Linked DNA regions of Arabidopsis thaliana. The protein of the gene in region 3 interacts with the protein of the main gene of each other region in a pairwise test. Each region holds a gene or a part of one and is shown on either strand. Other genes may lie near its edges.

The links.
Region 1: the proteins of SK18 (region 3) and AT3G24760 interact in a two-hybrid assay, tested with the Arabidopsis thaliana proteins (one large-scale study listed by BioGRID).
Region 2: the proteins of SK18 (region 3) and AT3G57580 interact in a two-hybrid assay, tested with the Arabidopsis thaliana proteins (one large-scale study listed by BioGRID).

What each region holds. Positions count from the first base shown.
Region 1 is NC_003074.8:9,037,932-9,043,118, reverse strand, and holds AT3G24760 (Galactose oxidase/kelch repeat superfamily protein), read right to left. Parts: upstream 3,106-5,187; 5' UTR 3,012-3,105; coding exon 1,860-3,011; 3' UTR 1,850-1,859; exon of another isoform or gene 1,839-1,849; intron 1,547-1,838; 3' UTR 1,026-1,546; downstream 1-1,025.
Region 2 is NC_003074.8:21,319,466-21,324,424, reverse strand, and holds AT3G57580 (F-box and associated interaction domains-containing protein), read left to right. Parts: upstream 1-2,045; 5' UTR 2,046-2,398; coding exon 2,399-3,625; 3' UTR 3,626-3,934; downstream 3,935-4,959. Other genes in the region: AT3G57570 (ARM repeat superfamily protein), read right to left, coding at 4,320-4,502, 4,738-4,878.
Region 3 is NC_003070.9:3,354,168-3,357,671, forward strand, and holds SK18 (E3 ubiquitin ligase SCF complex subunit SKP1/ASK1 family protein), read left to right. Parts: upstream 1-1,507; coding exon 1,508-1,984; downstream 1,985-3,504. Other genes in the region: AT1G10225 (transmembrane protein), read left to right, coding at 197-523; FRS11 (FAR1-related sequence 11), read right to left, coding at 2,668-3,288, 3,484-3,504. UniProt on the Arabidopsis thaliana protein: Involved in ubiquitination and subsequent proteasomal degradation of target proteins. Together with CUL1, RBX1 and a F-box protein, it forms a SCF E3 ubiquitin ligase complex. The functional specificity of this complex depends on the type of F-box protein.

The DNA of each region.
Region 1 (5,187 bases), on a different chromosome or scaffold from region 3:
AGTGTTACTACTGAATTGTTCTAGTGATAGCTTAACGATTGAAAACATATGCTATTGCTATGTGGTACCAATGACAATAGACTTGTTGTTTGGAATCCGCTTTCACGTGAAACCAGGTGGATGAGGATCCAACCCGGAAAGTGTTACACGGCAATCAAATTTTTTGCTCTTGGTTACAATAACAAATCTTCCTGTTATACAATCTTGAGAATGTATCCATTAAACGATGAATTCCAATCTGGATATAAGTACGAAGTCTATGATTTTACCTCTAATTCGTGGAGGGTTGTTGGTGTGAAACCGGCTGGTTCATACCACTGATTCAGACCAGAAGTGGCATGTCTATGAAGGGAAATACTTACTGGTTTGATGAAGAACATGGGCGTTCTTTTTTACTATGTTTTGATTACACAAGTGAGACATTCCAATGTTTGTCTCTTTCGGAGGATGCTAATACTCATTATCATTATTTGGTTTTATCAGTGACTAGAGAAGAGCAACAACTTTGTATGTTAACTAGATATACATGTATGGATAGCAACTAAGATTCAGAGTACCGGAGCCTTGTCATGGGCAAAGTTCCTAACAGTAACGAGAAGCGGTATCTACTATCGTCGTTGTTTTGGGATGATCAGTTTCTTGATCGACCAGGAGAACAGAGTAGTGTATTGTAACTCTTTCTTTTCCAACACCATACACATCGTGGGAGAGGATAAATATATAGAAGTGAATCATGATGTTGCTCCATACGAATCTCATAACCTATTTCTCCTCAGTTATGTTCCAAGTTTCATTAAAATCCAACAAGGTATCTAGTTCTTTAGTTGGAGTAGGCTTCAGGAATGCACCAAACCAATGTTCTAAATATCGGTTCTTTTTCGGTTCTTTTTCCTATGAACCCAGTGGAATAATGTTGGCTGGTTTTTGTTTAACAAGAATATATATTCTTGATCATAAAAATTCTTCTGATTTTTGGTAACAATGATGAATTCTGATTATAAAATCTCTATAAACGACACACCTTTTGGTGTGAGAAAAAACATGAATGAGAGTAAGTTTTATTAGGTCCCTAAACTCATCTCTTCTACCTCTTGCATTAACCCTAATCTCTATGAAAGCCTAAATCGGCTTTAAAAACAATGAAGAAACCAAACAATGTATATCCTCTGGAAGTTAACTCTGGCACGATTGCGATCAACATCCAAAGGCTTTGGTCAAAGATGGGAGTCTTGTTAAGAAGCACGATTGCTGATCAACATTTTCATTATATGTTCACCAAAAAATAACAACAATACTTAATAGAATTCATTAGAACGTATAAATGTTAGCTTGCTTTGGTATAAGAGATTGTGAAAACACACTCATTTATAAACAAACAACAATACTTAATGATTCTGTAGATATGTGTATGTATGTAAATGATTCATACAACGAAGAATTATAAACCAGTTTACGTCTAATTACATGATTACCATAATAAATTGATAACCATTTTTATACACTTCATTATTAAATCTTCTCCCTTCATCTCCACTTTACATTAGCACTGCCAAGTCACAAAATGCAAAGACATAAGTACACAGAAACCGTATCAAGAACACTAAGCTATAGCTACGTTCTTGTTTGAATGTAAAACCTATCAATATTCAATCTTTGCCTATTTTGGCACAAGAGATTGTGTACCCATGGATAAGTAATGGATTCTCATGAAACTAACGCAGAATGTTGATTGTCGTTTTACCATAACCAAAACAACAAAGCCAATGCAAGAAGACAATCTCATCTAATACTAGTGAAAGCGCAATTATAATGAAAGATAAGGGTGTGGATGATCATACCAGGAACATACCTAAGCAAACTCAACCACGGATCGAACCGCCAATCCGAGCTTCCTCGGGGTGGAAAACATCGGTAATAGACACCGTTGAGCAGAAACTAACAACTTTATGAAACTTATTAACCGGAGAAGGCAAACAAGGAACTCTTCTCCAACTACATATCCCATTCTCACCACCACCAATCTCACAAACACAAGCTGGAAATTTCTTATGACAATCATCATTAAACACATAAACAAGATTCCCAGAGCCAGCACATTTCAAACTCCTAAACTTGTCATCCTCATCATCACTATCAACTAATCCAAACAACAAATCCTCAGGCATAACCGCGATTTCGCTAAATTCCATCGAGCCTTCTTCAATACTCCAAAGATTAAACGAGAACCCACACATTCCACCAAGAACAAGCATACCATTACAAGAATTCAAGTAAGCAAACGAGAGTCCTGGTGGTTTAAGAGTTTGAACATCACTCCATGTATATGAATCCAAGCAAAACGACGAGATAAAACACGAATAGTTATCGAAAACATAGAATCTTCTCTTAAACAAAGCTGAGGTCAAAGTTTGATGATCCTGACCAGATCTGAAATCAGCAGGGAGTGGTGAACAAAGCTCCCATGAATCGAGAACAGGATCGTAGATTTGAACAGCTAATCGTTCTTCGATATCGACTAATCCGCCGATACGCGAAGATCCACCGACGAGGATTAGTTTGGATGAGTTAGATAGAGTTGTGAAAACGGTTAAGAGAGGATTGATTCGAGGAAATCGAACAGGGGAAGTGAATCGCCAATTAGGTTTAAGGATTGGTGAGAAGGAGAAGCGAGGAGCGGTGGTGAAGAGGAAGCGATTAGATCCGACGAGATGATCGGAGGAAGAGGAGGAAGGAGGGAGACGGAGCCAGGTGTTGGAGAGAGGATCGAAAGCGAAGGATTGGTTGTGGAAAGAGGAAGTGTTGTGGATACCGAAGAGGAAGAGCCATGGTGGTGATGATGGAGAAGGAGAAGGAGAAGGAGGAAGAGAGGTGATGAGTGAACGCCATTGTTTGGAGACGAGAGTGAAACGGACTAAGGAAGGGATTGGGAGATGATAGAGGATTGATTCTGTGACGTCGATGTTTAGATTGTTGAAGGTTGATGATTCGATTTCTGGATTGTTGTCTGACATTTTTTTGTTGTTGATCTTTTGCTTTGAAGATTGTTGAAGAAGAAGAAGAAGGAAGACAGAGAGAGCGTGAAAAGTGCAATGATGGAGAATGTGTGACCGGGAATTTGCGATATTTTTGGAAATGTTTTTTTTTTAACTTTATTAGTATTATGATCTATAATTACAAAGTTGTTACAAAAATGTTTTCTGCAAAAATAAAAATAGAAAAATCATTATATTTTTATAATTTTATCCTTCATTTCTTAATTTCTTAAAATAAAAGTAATGCGCAATATAATCTCTTACGGTCAAGTTTGTAAAATTTATCAAATCGAACTCTTTGCAATGTATACTTTTAATCAGGCTATTTTTAGAATTTTAAAAATCTAATATATGTTACCGTTAAATTTTTAAGTGATAGAGTTAAAAATGGTTATATTACGTATTACTATTCTTTTTGACTTCCTAAAATTGATATGCATTTTCTGAAGATGTGATGTAAGGTAAAGTTGAAAGAAATTAATGACTAAAATATTTTTTTGTTTGCAGAAAAAACTATACAAAACTTTTGGGGAGAAATTTATTCAGATATATAACATTTTAAGTTTTTTCTATGATTGTTTTGATATTTTGAAAATTTTGCAAAAAATAAGTAAATCTGTATTCATTTTTTTGTTAATCTTTATTTTTTTTGTGAATTTTTTTTGTTAATATTTATTTTGAATTGTTTATTTGAGTTTGAGTTTTATTGAAGAATTGAATAGTTATTTTCATGATGATTAAAATCTAATAAATTTTGACAATGTAGTAGTCCCAAAAACATTTTTTTAATATCGCTTACTTGAATCATTGTATTTTCTATATTTAGGAAATACTTTCAATTTTTTTAAAGTTATATGTATCTCTATTTTTAGGAAAAAAAATAGAGAGGGTTGAATCAAAAGTTCCAATGGGTCCACTGGCGTTGGTTGAAGATCTCTCCACGAGGTGGTTGAAGGAGAAGCCAAGATATTAATGTCTGGAGGGTTTCATTGTAGCATCTCATAACCTTACATAATAATCCATACATATGAATACTCTAGCACAAACTAACTACACGACTAAACATAGCTACTCAATGATCATTTTATAACAGTAGATTTTAAAGTATCTTTTCGTGCTATTCAGTTGTATTTTTGAGTACTGAATTAATGAAGAATGTGTAATTTGTTTTAGAAATCTTCTCTAGTGATATTAAACGTAATGTACATGCTATGGACTAACAGATTAGATGAACCACCGCAATGTCAATTTAATTGTGGGCGGGAACGATGGAGAAGGGGGTGAGGGTTTACATAATAAATCGAGCTGACAGATTTGTGTTGAAATATCTGACTAATTTAGTTAGAGATTCACAATGTAATGAATGTCTCTCTATCTTTGAATGGTAAGTACCAGTAACGTGTATGCGAAATCATTTAAATGCATGAGATGTTACAATTTTTCTCTTTGTCTTCTAAACACACAAGGTGAGGTGTTTTGGGCTTTTTGAATGGACTTATACATAGCTCATGATGAAGTCCACTACAAAATCTAGATCTGCATTCCATTTCAAGTCTATCATGCAATACGATTACGCTCCATAATTTTTTTTCCCGTCGGGTTTTGAAAATTGTGAGTTTTTTCTGGTCACTCTCACATAAACCAGTGGGAAAATACTCTAGAAGAGTTTAGAATTTTTAGGAATGGCAAAACCGGTTAATTTCCAAAACCGGTTAAACATTGTTTAGATACTAACATAACGTGATCTACCAAAACCATTCACGTTGTGTGGTAAAGACTAACCGTTCGTCCGTTCCATTCAACTAAATTTAGAGTTCTCTTTAGAATCATCGAACCGGATAATTTCCTTCGTTTACCGTTAAACGATTTATTTTCGTAAAGAATTCTAACTCCCAATCTTTTAGAAATTTAAGCAAATTTTTAATTCTACGCAGGAAGTTCTAAGCATCAAATTTTAAACCTAGTCTCGATACTCGGTTAATCCTCATTTTCAAAATCCGAACTATTCTGGTTCTGCCGAAACCAATCCTACACATACCATGAAGAGAAGATAGGTGTGGTGGTCTGATATATATGTCCCAAACCATACGACCCAATAACACGACTTTAACCGTTTTATGATTAAAGTCAAACAAAATTTACTATTCTATTTTGG
Region 2 (4,959 bases), on a different chromosome or scaffold from region 3:
GAAACATAGAAAACCAAGCCGAATTTCCAAAGCATCTATCTAATTTGCAGTGAATCCATTGATCATTACGAGTTCCTCCCCAAGTGTAACTATTCCCTGAACTTCCTAATTCATGCATGTCACACCAGCTAAGCATATCTTTGAATGGTTGAAAAGAAGAAGACAGTCTAGAAGGGCCTCCTAACTTATCTTGATTAGATGTGATATCATTAAAATCACCTATCATACACCAAGTTGATTTCCTGAATTCACCAATAGAGCATAACTTGTCCAAAAGCAAATATCTGAGACTTGCCATTGGATTCCCATACACACAAGAAACAAACCAACTTTGAGAACCTTGAATCACTTTCAAATCCAAAAGATTCTTGTCTTCATACAAAAACTCAATTTCTAGGTTATTTTTCCAAAAAAGAGCGAGACCTCCACTTTTGCCTTCTGGTTCTATTGTGTGAAAATAATCATATCCAAGCCAAGTAAAGATTTTCATAACAAAAGGATCACAATTCATGGTCTCCATGAGGAACAAAATATCAGGAAAATGATCTTTTTTCATTTCCTTTAAGTATCGAATTGTCCAAGGATTCCTCAGTCCTTGGCAATTCCAACTAAGGACGCCCTATTGATACTGCGGCAGTTCACAAGGAACCACCGTAGAGTCCACACCCTTATTATCTTGAGAAATCCCAGAACCAACAGCTTGATTTCTTCTTTTAGCATCTGTGTCACCTTGAACGATGAAATTTGCATCCGGAAGATTTAAGTCTTCTCTACCAAGTGACTTCTTTCTCAAAGTGTAAACTTTCCTTTTTCTTGGATTTTTCTGCCTAATACTTAACCCTGACGAACTTGCTTCCTCTAAAGTAGTTTTAGGATCAGAAGATAAATCCATTTCCAAAAATCCAGACAAAGCTTCAGATTCATGACTCTTCCTTAGTTTAGCTTTGAATGGAAAAAGACCTCTCTGTAATTCCTTAGATAACTCATTCAAAGGAGCAGGAGAGGCTGGATAAGGAGAAGAATCCTGAGCATCCTTCTCTCTCTGCCAGTTAAACAAATCCCTATTTTCATTACTTCCAACAGGAACCATAGAGGGAGACGGAAGAGATAGAATCTTGGGTCTAGTTTCTGAAACTAATTCTCCTGTCTTTAAACCTGCATCTCTGATAATTTTTTCAAAATTTGATTTATTTCTTTGCTGAGAAAACGGACAATCACCTTTCTCATGAGTCAGACGTTGGCAAAGAAAACACCTCTTCCTGATTCTTTCATAATCAAAAGTAACTGAGACAACCTCACCAGTTGGAATCAGAACCTCTTTACAATTTCGTAAAGGATTTCGAACATCAAACAGTACCTGAACTCTGACATAATCCTGAGCTTGAGACTTTTCTAAGTCTAATTCCACTTTTAAAACCTTACCAACACAAGACGCAATCTCCTTAATCGTATCAGATGTGTAATAGTTGACAGGAATATTCCGCAATCGAATCCAAACAGGAAGAAACATCAGATAATCCTCTTTTGGTTTCTCCACCCATCGATCCATTATCACACACCATTCATCTTGAGTCCAAACTCCAGTTTTTAAAATTTCAAGTAAATCATCTTCCGATTTAAAAAGAAACTGAAATCTTTCTTGTGAAAGCGCAACACCTCGAACCCTTGAGTAAAGTCTCCAGATTCTGGGCATGTCCAATATCCAATTAGACATCCTTTGATGAGAAGGGTTCAGAAATCTTCCTAAAAGACTGCAGTTATTCCTTTCTATTGAGCAAAATTTTTCTTGATTAGGCAGAATCAGAGGAACATCCTCCATGATGGACAATTCTTGTATGGCTTTATCCAAATCCAGATTCATGATACACAAATGAGCAAGACCCTGACCTTTTCTAAGAAGAACCACTTCGAGAAAACCAACTGAACTGACAGACTACACCACAGCTTGATAGAACTGAACTACTCTGAAAACAAACTTCTACAAAGAAGAAAAACGGATGAAACCACGAAACAACCTTGACTAGCAACAAAGCCGACAGAACACGGAGAAATCTTCGGACTGTGGATCCACTCTATCCCAGACAGAACTAGTGTAGAGGGAGAAGTTTTTAACCCCAAGTGGATTGGGACGGCAAGAGATCGGCGAATCTTATCTTTCTGATTGGGACGGCAAGAGATCGGCGAAACTTATCTTTCTGAATGAGCTGCTATGAAAGAGAACTCTGCGTTTTTTTCCAACAGACTCACATACACAATCTATAAAGTATGTCTATTTCTTTCGTTTACCGGACGAATTTAGAAAGAACAAAATAAACAGTCACAAATTCCAACCTGTCGTCGTCGTAGCCCCAAACCCTTTCTTTCTCCGGCGGAACAATCACGAACTCAGGCGAATCCGATGGATAGAGGAAAAATGAATGTATCACTCCCAACTGATCTCATTCGCGAGATCTTCGCGAGATTGCCTTCGAAGTCAGTGGCTAGGTTTCGTACACTGTCCAAGCAGTGGGCGTCTATACTTCGCAGTACTGATTTCACCAAGCTGTTCCTGAGCAGATCCTCGAATCGTCCACGTCTCTTGTTTGCTGTTGAACGATACAAATGTAATGAGTGGCAATTTTTCTCATCGCCTCAGTCACAGAATCGGTATGAGAAATCAGCTCATTTAGAGTTTCATAGCAAGTTCTCAGGAGATGTTAGCCACTACATTTGTAGCTATGCCTCAGGTTTGCTCTATTTTCCTGCTGTGCATATCGTTGATACTGAGACGATTGTGATTTGTAACCCTATCACCGGAATGTATACGGGCTTACCTGTGATCATGAAGGACAGAAGGTCTCGAGGCTTTTTAGTGTTTGATCCCGTTGATAAGCGATTCAAGGCTTTTGATACTCATTTCATTCTAACATTAGGATCTGGAGAACTCAAGTGGAGGGAAAAGAATATCCCTTGTCCTCTGTATGAGCGTTGTTCTTCGAATCAAGGGATATGCATTAATGGGGTTTTGTATTACTTAGCTAAAACTGTCTTAGTTGAAACAGTTTTTGGATTGACGTTTTTGATAGTTCGCTTTGATGTTAGTTCTGAGGAGTTCAAGTTTATTGACGCTGCCCGCTTTAATGATCGTCTAAAGGATCCTACTAGATTGAGTTTGGTCAACTATATGGGTAAATTAGGTGTGACTGATTGCAACTGTGTTGACGCTGGTGGAAGACGTACCGTTGAGTTGTGTCTGTGGGTTCTAGAGGATGTTGAGAAACTGGAATGGGTGAAGTATGTCTACACTCTGCCTGAGAATGAAGTCCTTGCTTCCTGCGAATTTTCAGTTGCTGGAGTGACTGCTACTGGGGATATTGTCTTGTGTATGAAGTATACATGTAAACCGTACTATGTGTTCTACTTCAATCCCGAAAAGAAAACTCTGCAAACTGTTGAAATCCAAGGCTTTGGAGCTAAGCTTGAAGAGGTTGAGAATCGTGGTGAAGTTTTTGCCTATGTTGACTATGTAGAGGATCTTAGTCTAAACGATGCGAAGCAACTCAAGTCAAGCATTTCTCATGTCAAGAGTCTCTGCCCCTGCTGTCAAAAGTTAGTGCAGCCTGAAAACATCGGGGAAGTGGTATGATGATGGTGTGAGTAGGGAGAAGAAATGAAAGATACATCAGTGAAGATGAAGACATAAGAAGAAGAGAAGATTATAAGAGAGTAAAACGATGAGGCAAGGAATAAGAAAAAAGCCATAGGGCATGTCATCTATGCGTTTATGTTCTTTAGTTAATAGTAGTATTATAGGCGTTGGTAAAAGTCTGTGCGAGTCAAATCTAGCACTCGTAAAATCGTACGTACCTCTTGACTATCTTTGGTTAATCTAGTTTTCATATATAATTCCATCTCTTCAGTTCTAAATCAATAAAACATACATAATTGTAGAGTTTGATGCTGTCTCTCTCTAGCACATTTTTTGCCTTGTTACCATCATCAGGTTGAGGTCTCTGCAACTCGGATCCATCTGTGAAGAACAAGCGCAGCAGAACAGGTATGAGTATTTTGCTAACCTAGAGAGTGGACTGGTGTTGATTTGAGTTTCTAATCTGATCTTTCCCAAATTAAAAAAAGTCAAGACTTAGTTTCAGAAAACACAAAATGGTAGCTGCAGGTTCACCATAACTGGTTACTAAAACGTATTTGGTCTTTGCATATTACATAAGATTATAGTTAGGCCATCGTTTGCTACAACATATCTACATACCGACTTCATTGGCACGCGAGAACAAACCAAAAGTGGCAAAAAAGAAGAAGAAGAAGAAGAACAAATGGCTTTACAACGGCGTTATGCATGCCAATAGCTTAGCGCAGACTTCACGTACGTCTCGAGAAGGGTCTGACAAAGATGCTTTGGACAGAACTGATCTTGCTTCGAGCAATCCCTCTGAAATGTTTTCCAGTATCACGTCTTCACTCGCCATCAGTGATGCCATTAGTTTTGCGCCAGCCAGCTTTTCCTACGCAACAAGAGAATAATGTTTGACTTCCGCATAACCTTAAATTCAAGGCAGTCATAAATATTCGAGTTCAGATGTGGATAGATGCAGACAGTTTCGGATATGGATTGTGGGATTCAGAAATGTCGACAGTAGTCACTTGAGAAAGGAAGTTTCATGTCTTAATGTGAAGCTCTTTGTCTACTTCCATACCATTGTATACATGTTAGAAATAAGTTTAATAGATTTCTGGTACCTTTTCGGATCCTTGTTCAAGAAATCTCAGGGAAAGCTTCAGCAGATCAGATGAAACCGGAAGAAGTGTGGACTTCAGATGATATGTGGCCGAGAATAAGACCTGGATACAAGCTGCACGGACCTCCGGTACAGATATGACCTGCACAAAATTAAGGAATTTTGTTGAAAACTAAACAAAATGCAAACAAATTTAGCCAAATCCGAAATGAGTGTAAGCAGT
Region 3 (3,504 bases):
AAAAAAAAATGAACCAGCTGGTTTCAATTACGTGGCAGATTTTGTTTTTGTTTACATCACTCGCTTTCTCATTCGTTCAGGTTCATTGCAGACTTCCCTCACCGCCGTTATCTTGTCTCTTCTTCTCTCTCAAATCACATATCTTCCTTTTTGTTTTGTTTTTTTTGATTAACTTATTGTTTGTTTTCCCCAGTTGATGGAGAGAATGAACATGAGCGAAGAGGAGGAGCAATGCAAAAGAAACCAAGAGGCATTCAAGAGATTCTTCGAGCAAATCCCCAGGACTGCGGTGATAGGCATGCTTTCCTTCTTCCTCCACGGCCAGATGAGTAAGTTCGAGAAAGCTCCAAGCAAGCCTCTTTCCAATGCTTTCGCCTTCGCCTCCGTGGGCTACGTTGTGTTGCAGGTCGCACACGGCTTTGCTCGAGCTAATCGTCCTTCATCTTTCGCTTTCGACTTCCTCTCTGTTCTCTGTGGACTTGCATCCGTTGCCATTCTCTTCACTGCCATCTTCAACGACTGAGTCAACCCCCAAGTGAGTTAGGGTTCTTTTTCTCTAAATAAAAATGAAATAAAATCTGAGATTGATGATATGTTTCTTCTAGTTGAGTCATTCCAGTTTTTTCATTTCTGTAACGAATCTATGGATTTATGTTAAAACCCTAATGTGAAAAACCTTTTGGTTGATCATCATCCAAGACGGCATTTTTTTTGTGTCTTTTACTAGCGAAGCATCTTGATATTTTACTCTAGTTTTAGGTACTAGGATCGGTTTTCTACAATCGGATTCCTGATCGATTATCAAAACCAATCAACCTAGAACTGGTTCAGCAAAATTTCAATTTTTTCTCTTCCGAATGTTCTAGAATCCCTCCATAAACAGAAATTTGGACTTATTCGAGTCAAATCCCTAAAGGTGTGTATGGGCTTTGTAATAGTTTGGCCCATTATTCCGAATCATTTCCTTGTTAATTGAGTGTATTAATAAATGTTTTGGACTGGTTTGTACCAAAAAATAAAATAATGTTAAGCTTAGAAGATTAGAAGATATACAATAAACTTTCCAAATCGGCAACAAAACAAAGTATTTGATATTGGTTTGATGTGTTTCACGACCATAGAACAAGACGGTACATTATACTATATGAATGTTGGCAAAAGACAAGTTTTTATGTTTAGTTACGTTTCTCTGCAAACGAAGATATTTTTTAGTTTGATCGGTTTTCTACAAACCGGTTCCAAATCAATATGATCCCATTTTGGTTTTCTCTTCAGAATGTTCTAGAATCAGATGAGTGGGACTTGTTGAGTACAGCCGTATAGGTTGTTTGGGCTTTATGAAATCTTTAGGCCCATAATTCTGATCCATTATATTTCCTTTTCTCCCCTACTTGTAAGGGTTTATTCTGGATTACTCATTTGCCTTATAACAATGGCTTCTTCTTCCGAAGAGATTGTGTCCGCCGGCGAATCATCAGAGATCGAGGAAGCGGTTGCGAGTCTAACCATGTCTTCTAACAAGATTTTGTTGACGAGTTCCGATGGCGAGTCTTTCGAGATCGACGAAGCGGTGGCGCGTAAGTTTCTGATCATAGTGCACATGATGGAGGATAACTGCGCCGGTGAAGCAATTCCGCTTGAAAATGTCACCGGGGATATCCTCTCCAAGATAATCGAGTACGCGAAGATGCACGTCAATGAACCTAGTGAAGAAGACGAAGACGAGGAGGCGAAGAAGAATCTAGACTCGTGGGACGCTAAGTTCATGGAAAAGCTAGATCTGGAGACCATCTTCAAAATCATTCTCGCTGCCAACTACCTAAACTTCGAAGGACTTCTCGGTTTCGCTAGCCAGACGGTTGCTGATTACATCAAGGACAAAACACCAGAGGAAGTACGAGAGATTTTCAACATCGAGAACGATTTCACGCCTGAAGAAGAGGAAGAGATTCGCAAGGAGAATGCTTGGACTTTTAATGAGTAATCCAACTTTAGGGTTTGCAGAATTTCGTTTCGAATTGCACAATTTAGGGTTTCTCTTCTCCCCCCTCTTAGATTTCGTGAATGGGTTCATCTTTTCGTTATCGACTTGGTCTCAAGTAATATTCTTTGTAGATTGACCAATGTTGTTCTTGCTCTATTAGCGTTCTAATTCGATTCTCGATCTTGTTCAAAAGCCTAAAAAAAATAATCAGTGTGTTCTTCTATTGTTCTTCAATTGAAAACGAAGATACTAGTAGAACCGGTCGTAAATCAATTCTATTATCTGGCCGGTTATCTATTTTAGTTCTCTCCAGAAAATTTTCAAAATTCTAATTAGTGGCAAATGAATGATCGACGCGTGTATGACAGCGCTCATCGAGAGGACCCACTCTGTGCGACCATCTTTGTTGTCGTTGACGTATTGGTAAGGATTTGGGCTTTGTGAGAATCACGGGCTCATTTGAATGCATAATCTTATTAATGGGAATTTTGGACATCATGGTACTATTTCGTCGAACACGACGAATTTAAGGTTGACTTATCTTTCTTTTTTTTGTCAACGAATATAAGATTGATATTTTTAACAATGCATAAGTTAAGATAAGAGTTACAATCTTGTAAGATTAGGTTAATAAAGTAATTATGTTATCTAAAAATAGTTAGACACGCATAGCATTTGTGGTATCAAAAATTCCTCTGCACAGAAGAAGAAATGTCTCTGATAGCAAGTGAGGAGACAGGCTGCTCTCTGATACGGGATAAGAGGATGGAGGTTTGCTCAGTTGCAATATCTAGCCTCTCCTTCGATTTAGCCGATTCTGAGACCAGAGTCGAAACCAGATTCTGCAGAAGCTGAACTCTCTCTCCATGATCCTCAGCGTTACTTCTGAACGTCTTGCTAAACGACGTGCTGATCCTGCGCCACCTAAGTGGAAGATACCTATCAGGGACCTGAAAACAGTTTCCTGTGGAGAGAACACGGAGTGCGTGCCTGCAGAGAAACCCAGAGAACTCAAACAGTTGGCAACTGCAGCTTATGATGCCTTCTTGAGGAACCCAATACACTTTTCTTCCTCCATCGAGTTTTGTGTGGTGCCTCACGAGATACCCCTCATCCATCTGGAACGATGCGTAGTGAGCAGCAAGCACAAGCTGTTCTTGGAGCTTGGAGAATGCAAAAGGAGTGAGCACCGAGGCTGCGTGAGATTCCATGGGGGCGCCAGTTTTTAGGCTGATGTTTTGGAGATTCTGCTGCATTGTTTGCTGTTCTGTAGCTTGGTCTTTAAAATCCACAACAACAGCCACCTGCATATTCACCCATAACTCAAATAAGCAAAAATAGCAAACTCAACACACGTACAGTACCATTTCATGAGATTAAAATGCATAAACCCTATAAAATAAATGCTTGAACAATTACTGCATAGAAGGCCTAAGAGCTTGAAATAACTCATTTCACTAGCAATGAATAAACACTGTCAGAAGGAGAAGAGAACATACTTGTTCTACAAAGTGAGCTAG